Arabidopsis thaliana: one gene and its partners. The protein of the gene in region 3 interacts with the protein of the main gene of each other region in a pairwise test. Each region holds a gene or a part of one and is shown on either strand. Other genes may lie near its edges.

Region 1 (5,265 bases), on a different chromosome or scaffold from region 3:
GTTTTAAGTTGGTGAAGCGTGTACCCGACAGTTTCATGTCCACATAGCTCAACATTGTTGTATTTATTGATTTATGTGGGCGTTTCAATAATCTGTGTAAATCCAAGATATCATTGTCGTAAAAAAAGGCGAGGGTCAGATTTGTATAGCGACACTCCCCGTGAAACAGTTGTGCAATTTTACATGTTTACATAGAATTCCAAGTATTTAAAGACCAACCCTTTGGCCGATATATGTATAATTGTACATAACTAAATTCTATAAAACGTAGACGATAAAATCATAATGTGGATTTTATGCATGTCGTTAAATGGTATGGTGTTATTTAACTTGTTCATATATGTTTTTTTATTAACGAGTTTACTTGATAAATGTTATTCACTTATTTCACGTAATATTACGGTTATTATACAAGTTTAACAATCACATGGAAATATGTACTATTTACGATTTTTTCATCGCATTTTTTGTCAAACAAAAAGGTAGAATTAAGTTATAAAAAAGCCCTACATATCAAAAAGTTATATTGCTGAAGACGAACGAATAGTTGCCATGCTTAACATGCATTGCATTGGAATGGTCAAATAGAGATGCTATGAATATATGAGCTGTCCTCTCAAGTCAATTGTTCAATAACTCGTTATATTATATGTAATTTATAAGCTAATCATCACTGTCCTTTTCGTTTGTCTTTGTCATAAGATTGACAGAACCAATAAAATCTGAGGACGATTAAATTAATATATAAAGAAACTAGAGATTTAATATTTTGAACTGAATAAAAGTTATATAGATTACATGAAGGATCGTTGTCATTATCACTACCACAAAACTTTAACATCATTCACCGACAAATGGAAAACATTAAGCTGTTCACTTAATTAACACGCATCTCATATATTATTTCCCTCGTATATATTAAACTTTATAGATGAGATTTAATTTCTTTCAACTACCTATGCAAAATTTATTTTATTTGATGTTTTGTGACAATTATATTAATCTTTGATAATTAGTTTTGGTTAAACTTTTTTTTTTATTATCCATTTTTGTCAACCACGTAATTAAATTAAAAAAATATATCTTAATAGATTATCTAATATGAAAGAACCGAGTTTACGAAATTTCATTTTTAAATTAGTTTTGACTAATGGGTCTCTAAGTTATTACACCCGACTAAATATGTGGAGTCGATAAGTGATAGCAAGTTAGATTTACTTGTTCTAAGCTAAACTAACAAATATAGATAAGTTAAGTAGATTAAAACTTACATAATTGAATATTTACATGTTTGGAAAAAAAACTTGAGTAAAAGAAAAAAAACTTGATAAAAATCACTAAAAATTATGTTTACACTTGAGTTAAAAGCAAACATTTTATCTACATAAGATGATACTAATACAAACTAATGGCCTATATATATTTGTAATCCATGAAATTTAATTTTATTTTTGTAACAGACATTATGATTGTAACATTTTAATTTCTTTGCCCAAAAACAAAACATTTTATTTTTAAGTTATTCGACTTCTTATTTGTGTTCATCCCATTTTTTTGTTTCCAACCGATGAACAACGGAAGGTTGCGTCAAAACGCAAAGGGTTGTGTTGTTTGTGTTGAAGTGGAGCTCCTTCATTTTAGGAACAAGCAGAGGACGTTACACAATCAAACTCAGTTTCTTCCCTTATTTAACGTAACCACTAATTCTATTTTCTTGTTCTTTTACAAAGTTCATAAATGGAAATGAACACGTAAGAAGAAATAAAACAAAGTTCAAAACTAAGAAACAGAAAAACAAAAAAAAACATAAAAAAACATATAAAAAAAACATAAAATTACAGAAGAAAAAAATGGGTAGCTTCCTTGAGGTTCTTTGTGCAATCTTCATACCTCCTGTTGGTGTGTTCCTCAGATATGGCCTTGGGGTAAATTTTTTTCATTCATAAATCATAAAAATATATGACACATTTGACATTAATGGTCAAAGTAAGATCAAATCTCTTGTTTTTTTGTTTCTTTGTATATGTGTTTGCAGTTGGAGTTTTGGGTCTGTTTGCTTCTAACGTTATTCGCTTTTATCCCCGGACTGATATATGCCATCTACGTTCTCACCAAGTAGGAATAACCAATCAAAAACACTGGATCCTTTTTTTATTTTATAACTTTTTCTTTTTCCAACAATGTTTGCTTTTTTAGATTTTTTATGTTGTATTTAAGGAATCAGTTTTGTAATCTAGCAAACTTTTTGCTATGTTAGATGTATGTAAATTCCAGCAGTTTCCAAATTGCTGTTGTTCTAGTTTGCAGAGGTTATGGATACATTTTACGGATCATAAACAGATTTGGAAGATTGATGATATTATTATATGCGTGATATAAATTTTGAATTGTAGTAATACTACATCTAAAGAGTGATCAAATTATTAGTACCATTAGGAACTATAAAGTTCTGATAGAGATATTACATGGAGTCATCGATACACACAGTTTACTTATGCGTATAACGATAAATATAAACCTGTGTACATACATTTATAATTTTATATAGCTTCTGCAATTCCGATTTGAAGATTGCTTGAATCGAATACCGTGTGGTATAGGCTCCCATGAAGACGTTCCCAATAATCCCTGCATATACAAATTCTTTACCTCAAAGTGGTAAGCAAAAAATGTAAACAAAATCTATTGAAATCGTCCCATCTTACCAAAGAGGATCAATTGGTATAGTCAATGCTCTCCCATAATGAAAAAAATTATGAGCTACTTGGTTACAACAACGATTCGAATGAGAAAAATATTATTTTCTAACCTTAAATATCCAAGATATCGGTGTAAATTCCGATAATAGATGCGTCTATTAATCCATTGTTAATGCTGTCAATTAAGGTTTTTTGCAATCCCCTCTAACTCTCTAAGTGTACCTCGGTGAAACCTCGAATCTACTTTACACTAACTTTTAATTAGTTCGTACTAATTAACGAAAAAAAAACCTTTTAATTAATTCAGAAAGACAGAAACCAACTCCTTGAAAAAACAAATTGTTTTTCCGAGCCACGTGTATCACTTGGATCCGACGATTATTGTGTCCGGCCCATTAAGATAGTTAACACTTATTGGGCTTCCAAATATCAGCTAATTAGACACGTGGATCTGATTCTCTTCTCCGTCTTCTTCCGACAAGCTCGACGGCGACACAGCCAAAGAAACTACGCATCACCGGTAACGACAGAGATTGCTTTTGCTTCTGGTATTTATGTACCAATTCTGCTCTCTTTTTTACTGCTTAGATCTTAACCCATATAGAGTTATTATATCTGTTGCTCGTTTTTGAAGTTGCCCTTATACTGCTCGATGAAATGCCTCAGTGAATATCTTAATCACAAAACCGAATAGTTTCGTTTCTCTTATACTTAAATTAATTTGGTGTTGTTATTACAGAGAGAAATGGCGTTAAGGCAGAAGTTAGGATGGTCAGAAGGAGATCTGATGAGATCAGATGCTAAGCCATGTTCAAGACTGATGAAACAAACAGCTGCCATTTTCACTGTTGGTGGAGCTCTTGGTTTCTGGGTTCTTTGCAGACTTCACTATGGTAAACAAAGTTCTCTCCTTTCTAATCAGTGATTTGCGTTTCCATCAAAAGGTTGTTCTCCATATAGCTATTGAATCCAGTGCTCTGCATAATTGATTGTTAGAAAGATTTCTTGTAGCCTTATGAAAACATACCAATGCGTATTACCATTCTGTTTTCTGTTCTGTAGTATCCGTTTCTTATGAGAAAAATGAATCCAAAAGGAGCTTTGATTGAATAGTTTGATGTGGTGAAAGATTGGATCTTTACACGTTTTGGGAAGCAATACACTTGTTCTTTGATTCCTATTGTCATGAAAAATGATTCTTGGGGTTGGTTTGTTGTTTATGTGGTTTTAAGAGTAAAAGGAACGTAGAATAGAATAGTTGAGTCAATTCTAAGATAGAACGGTTATAAAAGCAAATGTTTTCTTTGGGAAATGTGTAGGTCCAAGGATCACAGTGCCAAGGAGTCTGCGGTGGGCTGGGTGTGGTGCTTTGTCCGTAAGCACATCAACTGCAATGCTTGTCCGTCTCTTCAGCCCTGAATGTGAACCACAAAACATTGCTGCATATGATAACATCAAAACCCCTCAAGCTTCACTCCCTTAAACCCCATCATAATCTGGCTTTACCTATGATGTGTATGGACCTCATCTTCTGTACATTTTCTTGCAGTACATGAATTTAGGTAACTATTTATAATACTACCAAATTCTGTCACTTTTTGTTTCCTTTAGAAATTATGGTGTATTTTTTCATATAGCCTTTAGGTTGATAGAGTTAAGAGTATCATCCTATGCTCCTCTCTCATTTTCGTGTGTGTTTGATTATGAGTGTAGTGTAATTGGCCATTGGTCACACTCTTTTGGGAGAGTGTTTAGCTTTCTAAAGCTTTTGCTGTCGAAGGGAAGACCTTTGGATTTATTTGGAGGGTTGGGTCTCACTATCCCCTCAAACTAGTCATAGGTGGAATATCCACACCGAGGTTGTGACTTCATGGAGATGCCTGCTAGTTAAATATGTGTAGGAATATGTTTGATCACCAACAAACCTAATGCTACCATTTCTCGAGCATAATTAATTAATTAATTATAATCGACATCAATGTGTTTTGAATGTGAGTAAAGAGCTAGGATTTCAGTGATATTGTCATATAGACACAGCATATAAGCCTGTGGTATTATAATGTCATGGAGAACATAACTTAATCAAGTGAATTCTGCAAGCTATGGAGGCCAAAGATCTAGCTTTTTGGAACGGAGGTTGTTTCTTTGCATTTCGAATGAAAACAATAGTTGAAGCAGAACATCCTTAGGTCAATAGTTTGAATCCGGTAGGGTCAGATCTTATTTTCTAAAGCTTGTTTCATTCCATTTTCAGTGTTCTTTGACAAGAGTATTACAACAAAATCGTTATCAAAAGAGAACTCAATAAGAGAAATGCATACATGTCAAGTTTTTTTTTTTTGGTAAAAGGTTAAGTTACGTTACATGCCAAGTTTGTTATAGGGAATGAGTGGAAATGTCAGAGGTTACTTTCACTATACTTGACACCTTATGATGTTTGAACCATTGACTAGGCAGACTACAAAACCAAAAGATCCATCCACATGTGGTTTTTGCACAGTTCTTGGCGCAAAGAAACAACCTCCTGTCTACCAACTGAGCGAAGGTCGAACTGTACTATTGCATT
Region 2 (6,123 bases), on a different chromosome or scaffold from region 3:
AGGTGGTTTCTGTAGAGGGATGGAATTATTCTTTAATTATTTTTTCGTCGGCATAGTTTTTGCTATATATCTTCCACTTGCTGGAATTATATTAATGTGTTATCTAAAGTTCGCAGCATAAATTATTGTTGTTGTTACTGTTTATCGTTAATACTTTTTCTTGCTTTATTATTAGTAGGGCTACTTTGCTAAATAAAGAAAAAAAAATAGAAGTTTAACTCGTAAAAATGATTAAGTGGTAGTCGTAAATAAGTGATTCATAATGTAAAATTAATATATAGTGTCAAAAAAAAAACATGCTATTTATTTTTGACTTCTGCATGACTATTAGCACACACAAGAATATATATTATATAGAAATGTCGTCATTCCACTAGCTATAATATATACATTTTTGATTTTTTTACTAAATAGATCATATATTTTCGTAAAATACTAATTTTCTAAGGAGCTGATCTAGTTTAGTGGTCATACGAGGACCACTTACCTCATCAGCTCAACCCACTAATATTGAGTTTGTACCAGTTTGACAAAAAAAATACTTAACTTTTCAGAAAATAAAATGGAATTAGTTATTTTCATAATTACATTTTCAGTTAATAAAACTAGGATAACAAAAACTTGAGTTTTCTTTTTCTTCTTCTGAAAGTTATGACCTACGTAGCTAGGTTTTAGTTTACAGTCGTGGTTAACTTAGAGACTCTTTGATCATCAATCAGTTAAGACCAATGCTTCTTTAAGCCATTTAGTTTATTCTTGATGATAAAAGTACGTAACATCATTTTTAAAAAATTGTGGTGAGTGAGTAAAAGTCACGATACAAAGAAAAATATTCATAGTTTGAAAAGAACGTAAAGTAGAGATGAAATGTGAATACGATTATATATATTGTTTACATAGTTAATGTATAGGCCTTTCTTTCTTTATATAGGATTGTAAAGCTCTTTACACCGCTTTATTTATAACAAAAATAGAAATGAGCAAATAATTACGTCGAATAAGCACTAATTCCATTAAAGTGGGAGCTAGTAAGCACCAAGCACACTAGTTCAACTCGTATCAATTTATTGTATTTAAATCAGTAGTTAAAACTTGTTTAATTTCCTCATTGAGAAAGATTTGCCCACTTTAGTTAAGTCTTATCCCAAATAGCACTTTAGTTAAGTCTTTATCCCAAATAACTTGTTTACTTTTACTTTTCTATTAAAATTATGAATAGTACTGAATTCACTATTTAAATAAAGGCACTATGAAATAAAAAGAACTCCATAAAAAATGCATTAATTATTTTATATTTCTTAAATATAGACAAACTTTATAGAATTAATGGCTACAATAAATATTACGTTGAAAATGTCGTTTTAATATTTCTCCATCTTTTTTACATAATATTTATATGAATTTAAATTTGAATGTCGATACAACGATAACACGAAGACGAGAAAATATAACTATTTTCATTAGAATTGACACCAAACATATTTAATCTCTTCATTTTTGTCTTAAAAACAAAAGAACATACTTTCGTGACATAGGTTCATTTAGTACTTGATGGATTTTCGTGCCATTGGTTCATTTACTCGATGCAAGGCACGGTTCCATCGACACAGCAGCAATGTGATTGTCACATGTCGCGTGGTAAGACGAGGGTTGCTAGAGCTTACCAGTAAAAGAAGATACACAAATTTTGGTCTTATCCATTAGGCATACAAATTTAAAATATAATTAATATCTCATATTTTTAATTTTGACAGAACCAATGAAATAAAACACGCGCATTACTGCAGTGAATCCCAATTATAAGGAATCTGATTTGACGTGGATCTTCAAGACACTTCCACGAATTAAACTGCATGTTCTTAAATGCTTACACGTATTACTTCTACAACTCTCTTCTCTACTCCAGATGTCTCCATCTTCCTTTTATATCCGATATCTAAAACGCTCTCAAGTATAGCACAATCCACAACAACAAAAAGTACAAATCTTACTCTTCTTTTCAGCTAGATTTTACTAATCACTCGCCAAGAACAACCAATGGCCGTTCGATCAACCGTAAGTAACCTAAGACGTCGTCGTTTCTCTATGATTCATTTGGTCTTCACGATTTGACTTTTATCATTTTGTGTTTGAAGGGTCACTTGAAAAACGTAGTGCAGAGGTTAAGAACTTACACGAAGGCGACAACCGTACCAAGATCCAAAGCGTATTCTACGGCGGCAACAGAGTATGGTGGCCAGAGAACCGCCACCACAGCGGCAGCAACAAAAGGTGACTTCACACCAGTTTACGTCTCCATAGGATTGATTTCATTGTCAGTAACATTTGGTGTCTACACTGCGTATCTTCATCTACATGAAAACCCTGGCGTACGTGTCAACAAGAAGATGAGAGAGACCGTTCCCGAGATCGAAGATCCAGATAGAGTTCTAAACGAAGCGGACCGGTTCGCTAACAGGTCTTGGTTTAGGAAAATAGCTCACGTTCAAGAGTTTGACAAGCAGGATGTGATCTCTGACCCAATCAGGAAAGACCAGTTTGCTCATAAACCTCGTGCCTTGACGCTTAAGGATGTTGGCGTTGATCCTAAGATATCGGCTGCTGCAGCTCACTAAGTTTTTATGAAGGCTGGTTTATGTGTTTTGTTTTCCATGTTTCTGTCGATAAATAAAACATCTGAAGGAGATCAAAGAGTTTTCAAATGGGTCGGTTAAGGTTTTATCCTGTTTCCTCTTGGATGTATTACAGTGATCAAGCAACTTTTGAGTGTATTTGTGTTGTTTCAACAGCATGTAAATTATCTAATGAAATTTCGGTCGAAGTAATAATACAACTTCGTTTTGCTTCTATTTTCTTCTGGATTAACGATTTTAGTAAAAATACTCATTTGGGAGAAACCAATTTCTTGGGTCTAGGTTTGAATGAGATAAAATGGTTAACTTCCTAACCTTCTAAGAGTGTCCGAGGATTCATTCGCATTCTAATTGGGCCCAGGTCAAGGCCCAGGACCAGGCCCTAGTGGGGTAAAATTTTGCACGCGTCGGTGCTTTGTTTTGGATGACTTGGCGAGAGGTGATAGGGTAGTGTCACGTTGGCGAGCGATATTCATTGGAAGATAACAATCAAAATGACGTTCGTAGGTCTAAGAAATACGAGGACTAAAGAGTAAAGAATATCTCTCTCTCTGATCTACTTAGTACTTACTTAGTAGTTACTTCTCTGTCTTATTTGATTTTGAGTCTCTGTTTTGTCTCTTCTCTTGAGATTGCGATAATGAGAGAACGGATTATTACATTCGTTTCGCTGCTTCTTGTAGCTTTGCTTTCGTTTCCCAGTGTTAGCTACTGTGACGACCAAACGGTGATTGGTCACTTCCTTGAAAAAGTTCCTATTTTAAAGATTTGTTCATCGAATCTCCAGTAACATGGTGTTTTTGTTGTTGTTCAGATCCTGTATGAATCGTTTGACGAGCCTTTTGATGGTCGCTGGGTCGTTTCAGAGAAAGCTGAATACCAAGGTAAAGCCATGTCGTCGTAGTGAATTCGTGTTTTGAATTTTTTGGTTTTCTTTCGTCTGTTGAAGTAAAAACAAGTTAGAATTAGTGTAATGGAAGTTACAATCAAAAGGGGGTCTTAAAGTTTTGGTTTTTATTGGAACAGATTTAGAAATGTTTACTTTTACTATAAGTGGATAAGAAACAGACTTTGTGTGAGCTCTTAAAAGGTTGCTTCTTATTTGAAATCTTTTAGGTGTGTGGAAGCACGAGAAGAGTGAAGGGCATGATGATTATGGACTTCTAGTGAGTGAGAAAGCTAAGAAGTACGGAATAGTTAAAGAGCTTGATGTTGATGAGCCTCTAAACCTTAACGAAGGAACTGTTGTTCTTCAATACGAGGCTCGTTTCCAAGAAGGGCTTGAGTGTGGTGGTGCTTACTTAAAGTATCTTCGTCCTCAAGAAGCTGGATGGGTTCCTCAAGGGTTTGATAATGATTCTCCTTACTCTATCATGTTTGGACCTGATAAGTGTGGTGCTACCAACAAGGTTCATTTCATCTTGAAGCATAAGAATCCCAAGAGTGGCGAGTTTGTTGAGCACCATCTCAAGTTCCCTCCTTCTGTTCCGTTTGACATGCTTTCTCATGTCTACACTGCGGTCTTGAAATCTGATAATGAGGTGAGGATTTTGGTCGATGGTGAGGAGAAGAAGAAGGGTAATTTACTGTCTGCTGAAGACTTTGAGCCTCCGTTGATTCCTTCCAAGACCATCCCTGATCCAGAGGACAAGAAGCCAGAAGACTGGGATGAGAGAGCCAAGATTCCTGATCCTAATGCTGTGAAGCCTGATGACTGGGATGAGGATGCACCCATGGAGATTGAAGATGAGGAAGCTGAGAAACCCGAAGGATGGTTGGATGATGAGCCTGTAGAGGTTGAAGACCCCGAGGCAAGCAAGCCAGAAGATTGGGATGACGAGGAAGATGGTGAGTGGGAGGCTCCTAAGGTTTCCAACACCAAGTGTGAGGCAGCACCCGGATGTGGCGAATGGAAGAGACCGATGAAGAGGAACCCTGCTTACAAGGGCAAATGGAGCTCACCTCTCATAGATAACCCAGCTTACAAGGGAATCTGGAAACCAAGAGACATTCCAAATCCTGATTATTTTGAGCTTGAGAGGCCGAATTTGGAGCCCATTGCTGCCATTGGTATTGAGATATGGACAATGCAAGACGGTATCTTATTTGACAACATCTTGATATCTAAAGACGAGAAGGTTGCTGAAACTTACAGACAAAGCACTTGGAAGCCCAAGTTTGATGTGGAGAAAGAGAAACAAAAGGCAGAGGATGAAGCTGCTGGTGAGGCAGATGGTCTCAAGAGTTACCAGGTATATTGATTTTCGCCACAAATTTGGAATGCTTATACATATCCTTTGTACTTATATTATGTATGTGCATTACTGCAGAAGAAGGTGTTCGACCTCTTGTACAAGGTTGCAGACATTTCTTTCCTTAGTGCGTACAAGTCAAAGATTATGGTAAGTTCTCATTTTCAGACTTTAGAAACATATTGTATAATGAAGAATCTTAAATGAGAATTTGCAATTTTCGTTTGTAGGAACTTATTGAGAAAGCTGAAACACAGCCAAACTTAACCATCGGTGTGCTCATTTCCATCGTGATCGTCTTCCTCTCTCTCTTCTTCAAGCTCATATTTGGTGGTGCAAAGGTAAAAAAAAAACATGTCAGTGAGATGTAATGTTTTGGTTGGCGGGTGTTTGAGTCTTAACGAAATTCTTGGTATGTATGTAGGCTAAGGTAGAAAAGAAGAAACCGGAAACAGCTGCAGAGACCTCGACAAGCGAGGCAAAGACAGAGGAGAAAGCAGAAGCGGTGGCTGCACCACGAAAGAGGCAGACGAGGCGTGAGAGTTAGATAAAAAGAGGATTAGATTTTGATTTTTGGGGCTTTTTGTTTTGATTTATCACCGTATAGACAAACAGTAGTGGACCTGATATTAAGACGATTATTGTAACATGTTTTTTTTGTATGCTTTTAGTTTCACATGAATCTGAATGTGGATCACAACATTTATGAGTTGAAATTTGATAAGTAATGGGTTGTGTACATCACATGCATCAGCATTATCAGTTTATCGTCTTTAGCTCGAGTGTTTACAACAAAATCTTAGCTTCGAGATTTAGACTTCTCTACCAAAGGGTCTTGATAGCCATGGCACGAGACTCGTATGATATACTAACCACAGTTAGGTCTGTTTGCAGAATGGATTCTTTGACAGAGCACGAGCTTCAGCAGCCAGAAGAGCATCATAAAGGTTTGATCGCTCTTCAAAATCTGTGTGTCTAACCACATTTCCAAAACCACGGGCAAGAACGAGCTCAGCACTATTCACCAGCTGGCTGACTGCCAGCAGATGATGCAGTCACTTCATCAGAAAATAAGACCAAAGTTGCTCCAACGACCATATCCTTCCTGCTTAGTCTCTGCTCTTTTTTTGTTCTTTCTAATGTCAGTGTAACATAAATAAGACGGCTTAAGGAATGGAAAGATAAGTTGGACCAGAAAACACACAAAAACTGTAAGCATGGTTCAAACTTCCCCTTAT
Region 3 (8,793 bases):
TTTTTGGAGTATTGCATGCTAATTAATAATAGTGGTGAAAACGCAAACCATCTTTCCTTATGCATATCACTAAGTCCAGCAAAACAGAAATAATCCCTTATCCCTGCCTAACGAGTAGAGTTAAGTACTTAACCATAGTTTGGTTCATGATAAATTATACAATTCTAAGGTATATTTTTGGAATAAACGTATGGTGTTGCTTATTAGGTCCATATCCATCAAAAATTTAAAACAAAACATACAAACCGTCGTATAAAATTAGATTTTGTCTAGTTATGATTTTATGACCAAATCAAATCCAATTCTAACCGCCAATCTCTTTTCATAATAGAGACCCCTCCAATTATTAAGGAAGGAAGACCATGGAATTAAAATATATTAAAGCGACTAACACAAATTTAAATCATAAACTAACAAAAGAAATATGTCTGTCATTTTGTTAAGTTTTTATAATAAAGAAAATATATTGACGTATATGTAATTTTAAAATGGGCCATGCAGCATGATATGCATTACTAAGCGAAGAAACAAAAATAGAGGCCGAAACGCGGAAAAGAGCTGACAAATCGTAAAGAGTGTCTTCCACATGGGATTAGGTCAATTTCACCATAATTTTCATGGCACTTCAGAGCCTATTGCATGTGGTGGATACATATAAGAAAAATAAGTTTATAGTTTTAAAACTAAAATTGATTTAGTCAAAAACGCTTAATAAAAATTTCTTGTCAACACATAAAAAATAAATGCTATAATAGATTGTGTTTTTGGATAGTATGGAAAATCCAACAAAACAAAATTTAGATGATATACGATTGTTTTTTATATCTGTTGGCAATAAATTGAGATGTATAATTGAAGGATTAGGTACCTTTTTCTGAAGAATTCGCCATAATATATACATGCATAATGTCATAAAACATGGAGAAAAATGCCCATAAAAATGTAGATTGATGATTTATGCTATTTCAGTCCGCGTTTTAGTCCATATTTGGGCCTTGCGAGTAATTTCTGCTTTTATTTTCGAGAACTCTGTCTCTGTGTATAGACTATAGAGCCAAGATGGGCTTTATAATAAAAAGTAGATATGTAGAGGGACTTTTTGGAGTAATCGATAATTATGAATTATAATTACAAATTAACAAACCAGAAAGTAGCTTGCATATGCTTCACATTTTAGATTTCCTTCAGTTATCATGGTAAATACTTAAGATGCTACTTGTCCATTCCATAAATGTTCCATGTCCTCGTCCATATCTTACTTAGCAAAGAGTCCAAAATGTGGGATTTTTCTGTCCTTTAAAAACTTAACTCTGTTTTTTATATACCAGAAGTGGGAGACCAAGGCAACAATTGGTAACTAAGTTTCAACTTTTTTGAGTTTTTCTCTCCTGACTGAATGGCTTTTTAAACTTTATAAACTCGTTCTAATTTGTCTTTTCCGTTTAAGGCTTTTTCGTACGTTTTGCAAATAGCTAAACTTTTGAAAGGAAAAAGTAACCTCGCGTTTTTCTCATTTATATTGCACAGAATATAGATACAAGTTGCAGCTATTACTGATAAAACGTAGCTACTTTTTTGGTTGGGTTTATTTGAGCCAAATAACTTCATTAAAAGCTGTAGTACCAAGTTTGGGTCTATCATTTACACTGCTATTGTCTTTGCTATATGACTCGAATCTGATACATTCGATTTCTAAAGATTATATCTAATTTTTAAGCGAATTAAACTTTTGCAAGCTTGGTTTTGATCTCTACTATTCTATTGACTAGAGAAGATGTCATAGTTGGGTGTAGAATAAGGTATTGAACTGACTTGCTTTTATTGATTCATTAACTATGGTATTTATACACAATGATCTCTATCAAGAGATAAACATAAATCCCTAAAATATAGGTTAGAAACTCTATCATCAAAGATATTGTACTAATCCTAATCGGATTACACATATCTCCAATAGAGTTGATATCTATTAACGGCAAAAGGAGCTAAGCTGCCATGATGACCCATGAAGTATATGCCTGCATGCTAATACGCAGAAAAACATTGAATGTGAAAGTGGCAATTATTCGAACACTCAAATTTTTTTATCTTCCTAAAATCGTGCTCGTGAAGATTTTTCAAAACAACCGATATAACCATTGGTGTTTAGTTGTTTACCTTTCTTTTTATTGCATACGATAGCCCATTCTTAGGAATTAAACCATGGGGGCAACTGGCAAGCATTTATAATCATTGATGTTACTTTAATTTTCATTTAATATGAATATTAAACGTAGTAGCTATATCATTGGGTTGGAATTAATGACTGAGAAAGAATGAATGAAAGAGAGAAACGTGTACTCGCAGTAGACCATATAACCATTGGTGAACAATTTTATTTGGAATCGTATCCATAAATATCATTTTTATACTAGTACGCTTGCTTTTACGACTACTATACCTTGTGTGGGCGGACCAACAATTTAAGAAGGGGGTGTGGGTGTAACTGGCCCGGTAAACCATAATTTTGTTTTGGCCATGTACAAAATGAGTTTTTGGCATACGGTGTTTTGTTGTATTTGAAGATCCCACTCAATATCATTTTTTTTTCCCCAATTTGATTAATCATTTGCTTTCTTGAAAGATTATTTTCCTTATAAGGATAAGAATAAACAGTTTCCTTTTTCATGGAACAAATTTTTCATGTTTCAAAGATATTTTCATTTTGTCTGAAGTATCAAAACAGTTTTACATTATTATTTGTCTTTTTCTGTTCAAAAAATTTAAGCAAATTAGTATATAATAAATAAACAGATTTGTGTATAGTATTGAAACCTATATCCATGAGCAAATGTGTGGTATATAAATTAGATAACAATTCTTTTTTGACATCATATAAATTAAATAACATTGAATTTGAAATTAATCACATTTTTAAAATGTGATTGTACGTTATTTATTCTTTAAAATTATGAATACTAATTAACCAATATATGTCATCGAAATAACTCAAAATATTGTAAAGAAAACTATTTGCATTTTACATATAGATATCTTGTAAAGTTAATTACGATATCCATAGAAATGTTATACAATCTTTGACTAAAAACGAAAGAAAGAATTCTAATAATTAATAACCTTTGGTGTTTTTAATGAGAGACGTGGACTCTCTCGGTAGAAATAATACAATGATTAACATACAAATTTGTAACTATCATTAGCCGTCACTCGCCACCCTCGATAGGACCTATATACACTTATACACAACACTAGCCACACACATCCTCAAGCGATAACACCACAAACAAAACAACAAACCAAAAAAAAAAAAAAGAGAGAGAGAGAGAGCAAATCTCCATCATCATCATGGACTCGTCTCCAAACGACGGCGTACACCAACCGCTTCTCCATCCTCAACCATCTCCATCTCCGCCGGAGTCAACCAACGGCGAGCTAGAAACTGTCCTCTCCGACGTAGAAACTCCTCTGTTTCTCCGCCTACGTAAAGCCACCATAATCGAATCAAAGCTTCTCTTTAACCTCGCTGCACCAGCCGTCATCGTCTACATGATTAACTACCTCATGTCCATGTCTACTCAAATCTTCTCCGGCCATCTCGGTAACCTCGAACTCGCCGCCGCTTCTCTTGGTAACACCGGTATTCAAGTCTTCGCTTACGGTCTCATGGTAACAACCAAAAACTCCTCTTCTTGTATATATTTTTTGTATGAATGTTACGTTTTATATCATTTTCGTCTATATGCTATGTTTTTTTTCACATCTTTAAAATTCGAGTTTTTTTCGATGATAGCTAGGCATGGGGAGTGCAGTGGAGACGTTATGTGGTCAAGCGTACGGTGGTAGAAAATACGAGATGCTTGGAGTTTATCTCCAAAGATCAACCGTATTACTAACACTCACCGGCCTCCTCCTTACTTTAATCTACGTTTTCTCCGAACCAATCCTTCTCTTCCTCGGTGAATCTCCCGCAATCGCTTCGGCCGCATCGCTCTTCGTCTACGGTCTTATCCCTCAAATCTTTGCCTACGCAGCGAACTTTCCAATACAAAAATTTCTCCAATCACAAAGCATAGTAGCTCCAAGTGCTTATATCTCAACGGCTACGCTCTTTGTTCACCTTCTTTTAAGTTGGCTCGCGGTTTACAAGCTTGGTATGGGACTTCTTGGTGCGTCGCTTGTGCTTAGCTTGTCGTGGTGGATTATAGTCGTGGCTCAGTTTGTTTATATTGTGACGAGTGAGAGGTGTCGTGAGACGTGGAGAGGTTTTAGTGTTCAAGCTTTCTCGGGTTTGTGGAGTTTCTTTAAACTCTCCGCCGCTTCTGCCGTGATGCTTTGCCTTGAGACTTGGTATTTTCAGATTCTCGTTCTTCTTGCCGGACTTCTCGAGAATCCTGAACTTGCTCTTGATTCACTCTCTATTTGGTAAGTCCTATTTTTAGTCAAACTCAATTTAATTATTTCCTTTAAAATTTATTTTTACTAGTTAATTTCGTTTACTAAATTAATTTCACCTATTGACCATAAAAAATAATAATTTAAGTTTATCTATTCTAGTGTTTTTGCCTCTTTGGTTTCCATTTTACCTATTCTAGTCTAATTTGTCTTCCACATGATATTTTATTTATGTTTTATCATAGGTAGTAGTTATTGGTTTCTACAAGAAAACACTTTTTTATATATCCTGAAACTCCACGTGAATATGTATGATTATAGACTTTTCCATGAATTTTTCTAGTAATGATTCGACAAAACTTTTAGTATTATTATTATTCGATATGAAAAGCATAGAACAAAACTTTTTGTAGGGAGTACAAAGCAAAGTTTGGTTGTAGATACTAGATATGAAAGTTAAGTTAATGGCGAACAAATTTGACACTTCTTCCGCTACAGACAATCTATGGTCACATCACATTTCTTCTTTTCAGTCTTCTCGTTTTGGTTTTCTTTGGAATTTGTTTTTGTCTTCTTCTTAAGCAGTAGAATTTAACTTTAACAATTTCTGTATGACCATATGAAACTATCTCATATGGAATCGAATAAAACATTATTTCTTCGTCCAATCTGCATCTACTTCTTTATTTTGTCGAAGATATTATACAATATTCTTCTAGTACTAATTAGTTTAAGATTTATCTGAGTCGTAAGTACTAGATTTTTTAGGTTTTCCAAAAGTTCTCTTTCCTCTGTTACCAAACAGAAGCAGCCACCAAATTTAGGTAGTTGCCCCAAATCAGTATGGAATTCCCATCTTTATAATATGATATCTTTGATTTTCATGTCAAGTCAAAAGTTACAATTTTAAAATGTTGTAAAAACATTACAAGCAACAATGGTTTCATACTAGCTTTTGATAGTGTACGATATTAAATTATTTGTTTTTGTGTTACAGCATGACGATTTCAGGGTGGGTGTTCATGATATCTGTTGGATTCAATGCAGCGATAAGGTCTGTTTTGTCCCAACTCACCACTTGCATGATCGTTTTCACTAAATTTAAATCATATAAAATAGAAAACGTCTCTATCCAATTTACCTACCCCCATAAAAATATGTGGATTCTTACATTTTACACACTTAAATAATGCTAAATCATACTGAACCATAAGCTCTTTTTCTCCTATTAAATCTGATGAAGTGTGACAAAAATTGTGTTATGATGTTGATACAGTGTAAGAGTGAGCAATGAACTTGGAGCTGGGAACCCTAAATCAGCAGCTTTTTCTGTGATCATCGTTAACATTTATTCGTTAATCACTTGTGTGATCCTAGCCATTGTTATTTTAGCGTGCCGCGATGTTTTAAGCTATGCTTTCACTGAGGGTAAAGAAGTCTCGGACGCTGTTTCTGATCTCTGTCCGCTTCTTGCCGTAACACTTGTCCTTAACGGAATCCAACCTGTCCTCTCTGGTAAACCCTTCTGATCGATACACCGCAATTTCGCAAACCGAATAAGCGAAGATTTTTTTTTTTTTTTTGAACAATTGGGAAAATTTTATTATAGGTGTGGCGGTTGGATGCGGTTGGCAAACGTTTGTGGCGAAGGTTAACGTTGGATGTTACTACATTATTGGAATTCCTCTTGGGGCTCTCTTTGGGTTTTACTTTAACTTCGGTGCCAAGGCAAGATAGTTTTCTTAACTTTCATTTTAATTAGTTACCATTATTCTTGTATTGAATATTAGAATAACAAATTTAAGGCTAATGATGCTATAGGGTATATGGACGGGGATGATCGGTGGTACGGTTATACAAACGTTTATTTTGGCGTGGGTCACGTTTAGAACAGATTGGACAAAAGAAGTAAGTTTGCTAAACTTTAAGCTGCCCTGTAGGCGCTAAGTGTTTACGTAAATATTTTCATTGATTTGATAGTTATTTTAATTTGTTTCAGGTGGAAGAAGCTTCCAAAAGGTTGGACAAATGGAGCAACAAGAAACAAGAAGTTGTTCCTGAATGATGCAGGTTGATGAAAGTTTGGTATCCAAGGAACCGATTAGATTCATCGGTAAACCGATGCAAATGCTCAAAGTAACATGTGAGCTGGTAAAAAAGGATATGGATCAACCTTTTAAACTTCTACAACTCAATTTTAAGTTTTTTGTGTTCTTGTTTAAAATGTTAGAGGTAGGTTATGTATTTTTGTATGCCAAGATTATAATAGTTACTGCGTTATTTTTTATTGATTTATATATATATGCATGTCTTTGATTGGATAGATCTTAGTTATTTTTGTTACTGAGTTTTTCTTTAGTTTAATGATATTTTGTTAGACTGGAATGCAATTAAAGTTTCTCTCTTTCAGTATGATGCATTTTTGTTGTTGTTGAGAATGTGAAGGAAAATAAGAACTGGACTTCCAACAAAATGGGCAGGGTGATCTATGGGCCTAATATATGGGCCTAAGTAAACTGAAATTACTATACATAAAACAAAGTTTTCACATCATAAAATCAGTCCAGCTCATTTGCGTTGAGGACTTGAGGCACAGAGAAAATTTGGAGTTTTTTTTTGTCAAAGGAGAAATTTTGGAGTTGATGATTCGATATCTGACATAGTTATAAATGTGTATTATCTTGCTCTAACTTTGCTTTAGTTAGTGGCAAAATTTTGATGTAAACAAAAGTAAAATAATCGCCTACTTAACGCATCTATGACATTTTAATATAAGCACTATTTTCATTCGTGTTTAATAAAAAATAACGAAAACGATTGTAAGAACTTCTAAATATTCTTATAAACTACTAGACGAGATGTTATATTTGTTCCATAAAGTTAGAGAAAGGAGCGATTAAATTTCCGTTACACTTGATGTAAACACGTTTTTTCGAATAAATTTTACATTTTATTCAAAAAAAAGAAAAAAAAAAAAGTAAAGAAGAAAAATTCTTGATACTTTTTCTTTTCATTATTCTCATTATAAACCATACAACGAAAAAGGATATAAATAGTAAATACTTGGCCAAGCCAATAATGGCCGTCACGTTGTATCTGTGCCATTTTCTGTCTACACATTTAAGTCTTATTTATTCTTTTGTTGGTCCAACAATTAGGCAATCGTTTGTCATTTAAAATAACACAAATGTATCTGTTGCACACAAATGTATCAAAACTCAAACAATTTTCTATGTATACCTAAACTAACGTATATATTGAAGTTTTTGTAAATTTGTATCACGACCTACAATAAATTACTCCTTTTTTACAGTATTAGATCTATATTACTAGATATCAAAGTGTTTCAATTTTCAAGCTTGCTATTTGAGTTTATCTGAATAATCCTAATCTGTTTGTATCTTTCTAGTTTGAATGAAAGAGTTTGGTATACACAAAAAAAAAAAAAAAAATCTAGATATAACAAAATCGTTTGATACTAATTTAATTTGAACTCCATTAGAACGTTGGCCAATGATGGTGAAAGATGTAGTTATATGATTTTGAAAGTCTATTGGAAATCACGACTTTAAGTAAATCATTCAAACTCAGGAAAGTTAGCAGCCATTATACGATAGTGCATTTTGGTTATAATTTTTTTTAAAACAGTTGTCGGAGACATGTCTTTATAAGGCCTCTCTTTTCTTTAACGTGGGTTTTAAATTCACGTGGGTCTCAATAATTAAACCAAAATACCATCATTTGAACCAACAATTTTTAAACCGAATTAAATCAGCAGCACTTGATTCCCCCAATATCATATGATTTGTTTATAACTTACATAATTTGATTATGTCGAGAGAATATTGAACCTTGTTTTCAGTATTTTAAAATTATCGGAAGAAACCCACATTTGTGTGTAATCATCCAAAAACATGGCTCACATGTGGTGGGTACATGAAGACACACATCATCATTGTATGCTTTCTTGCACACATCTGAAAACTAACTCATTACATTTTTATTTTCTTAGTAAAATAATCAAACATGATTTAACTTTAGATAAGTCTTAGATGAATTTAGTTTTATCACTTAAAGTTACAAATCATGAAGATAAGTTCTTCTAAATCAACTTGATTAACACCAAAGTTAAAATTATGAATGATAATTGGTAGTAGTACGGAGATCATGAATTGTGATATAGACCACATCCAAAACCGCATCGCAACAGTGGTGTAACACTACCAAAATCTCTACATATACATATGTATCTACGTATTTTTGTTACTATTTGAACCGTACTGCACTTTATTTCTTACACCGCAAAACGCAGTCACCATTCGGACCCTGAATTTGTCAACAATATCAGACTAAAAAATCTAGAAACTTTGCATACAATGCAAGCACGTAATACATGACTAT

The links. The genes of interacting proteins can lie anywhere in the genome.
Region 1: the proteins of AT3G21690 (region 3) and AT1G57540 interact in a protein complementation assay, tested with the Arabidopsis thaliana proteins (one large-scale study listed by BioGRID).
Region 2: the proteins of AT3G21690 (region 3) and AT5G07340 interact in a protein complementation assay, tested with the Arabidopsis thaliana proteins (one large-scale study listed by BioGRID).

Annotation. Positions count from the first base shown.
Region 1 is NC_003070.9:21,309,395-21,314,659, reverse strand, and holds AT1G57540 (40S ribosomal protein), read left to right. Parts: upstream 1-3,138; 5' UTR 3,139-3,247; exon of another isoform or gene 3,248-3,438; 5' UTR 3,439-3,444; coding exon 3,445-3,592; intron 3,593-4,018; coding exon 4,019-4,182; 3' UTR 4,183-4,765; downstream 4,766-5,265. Other genes in the region: AT1G57550 (Low temperature and salt responsive protein family), read left to right, coding at 1,851-1,925, 2,036-2,119.
Region 2 is NC_003076.8:2,314,027-2,320,149, forward strand, and holds AT5G07340 (Calreticulin family protein), read left to right. Parts: upstream 1-3,186; 5' UTR 3,187-3,273; coding exon 3,274-3,384; intron 3,385-3,447; coding exon 3,448-3,517; intron 3,518-3,749; coding exon 3,750-4,885; intron 4,886-4,963; coding exon 4,964-5,035; intron 5,036-5,115; coding exon 5,116-5,226; intron 5,227-5,309; coding exon 5,310-5,432; 3' UTR 5,433-5,623; downstream 5,624-6,123. Other genes in the region: AT5G07330 (NFU1 iron-sulfur cluster protein), read left to right, coding at 2,038-2,055, 2,136-2,615; Tudor1 (TUDOR-SN protein 1), read right to left, coding at 5,995-6,017, 6,096-6,123. UniProt on the Arabidopsis thaliana protein: Calcium-binding protein that interacts with newly synthesized monoglucosylated glycoproteins in the endoplasmic reticulum. It may act in assisting protein assembly and/or in the retention within the ER of unassembled protein subunits.
Region 3 is NC_003074.8:7,635,405-7,644,197, forward strand, and holds AT3G21690 (MATE efflux family protein), read left to right. Parts: upstream 1-3,179; 5' UTR 3,180-3,345; coding exon 3,346-3,666; intron 3,667-3,790; coding exon 3,791-4,422; intron 4,423-5,389; coding exon 5,390-5,446; intron 5,447-5,668; coding exon 5,669-5,907; intron 5,908-6,001; coding exon 6,002-6,120; intron 6,121-6,213; coding exon 6,214-6,300; intron 6,301-6,391; coding exon 6,392-6,457; 3' UTR 6,458-6,985; downstream 6,986-8,793.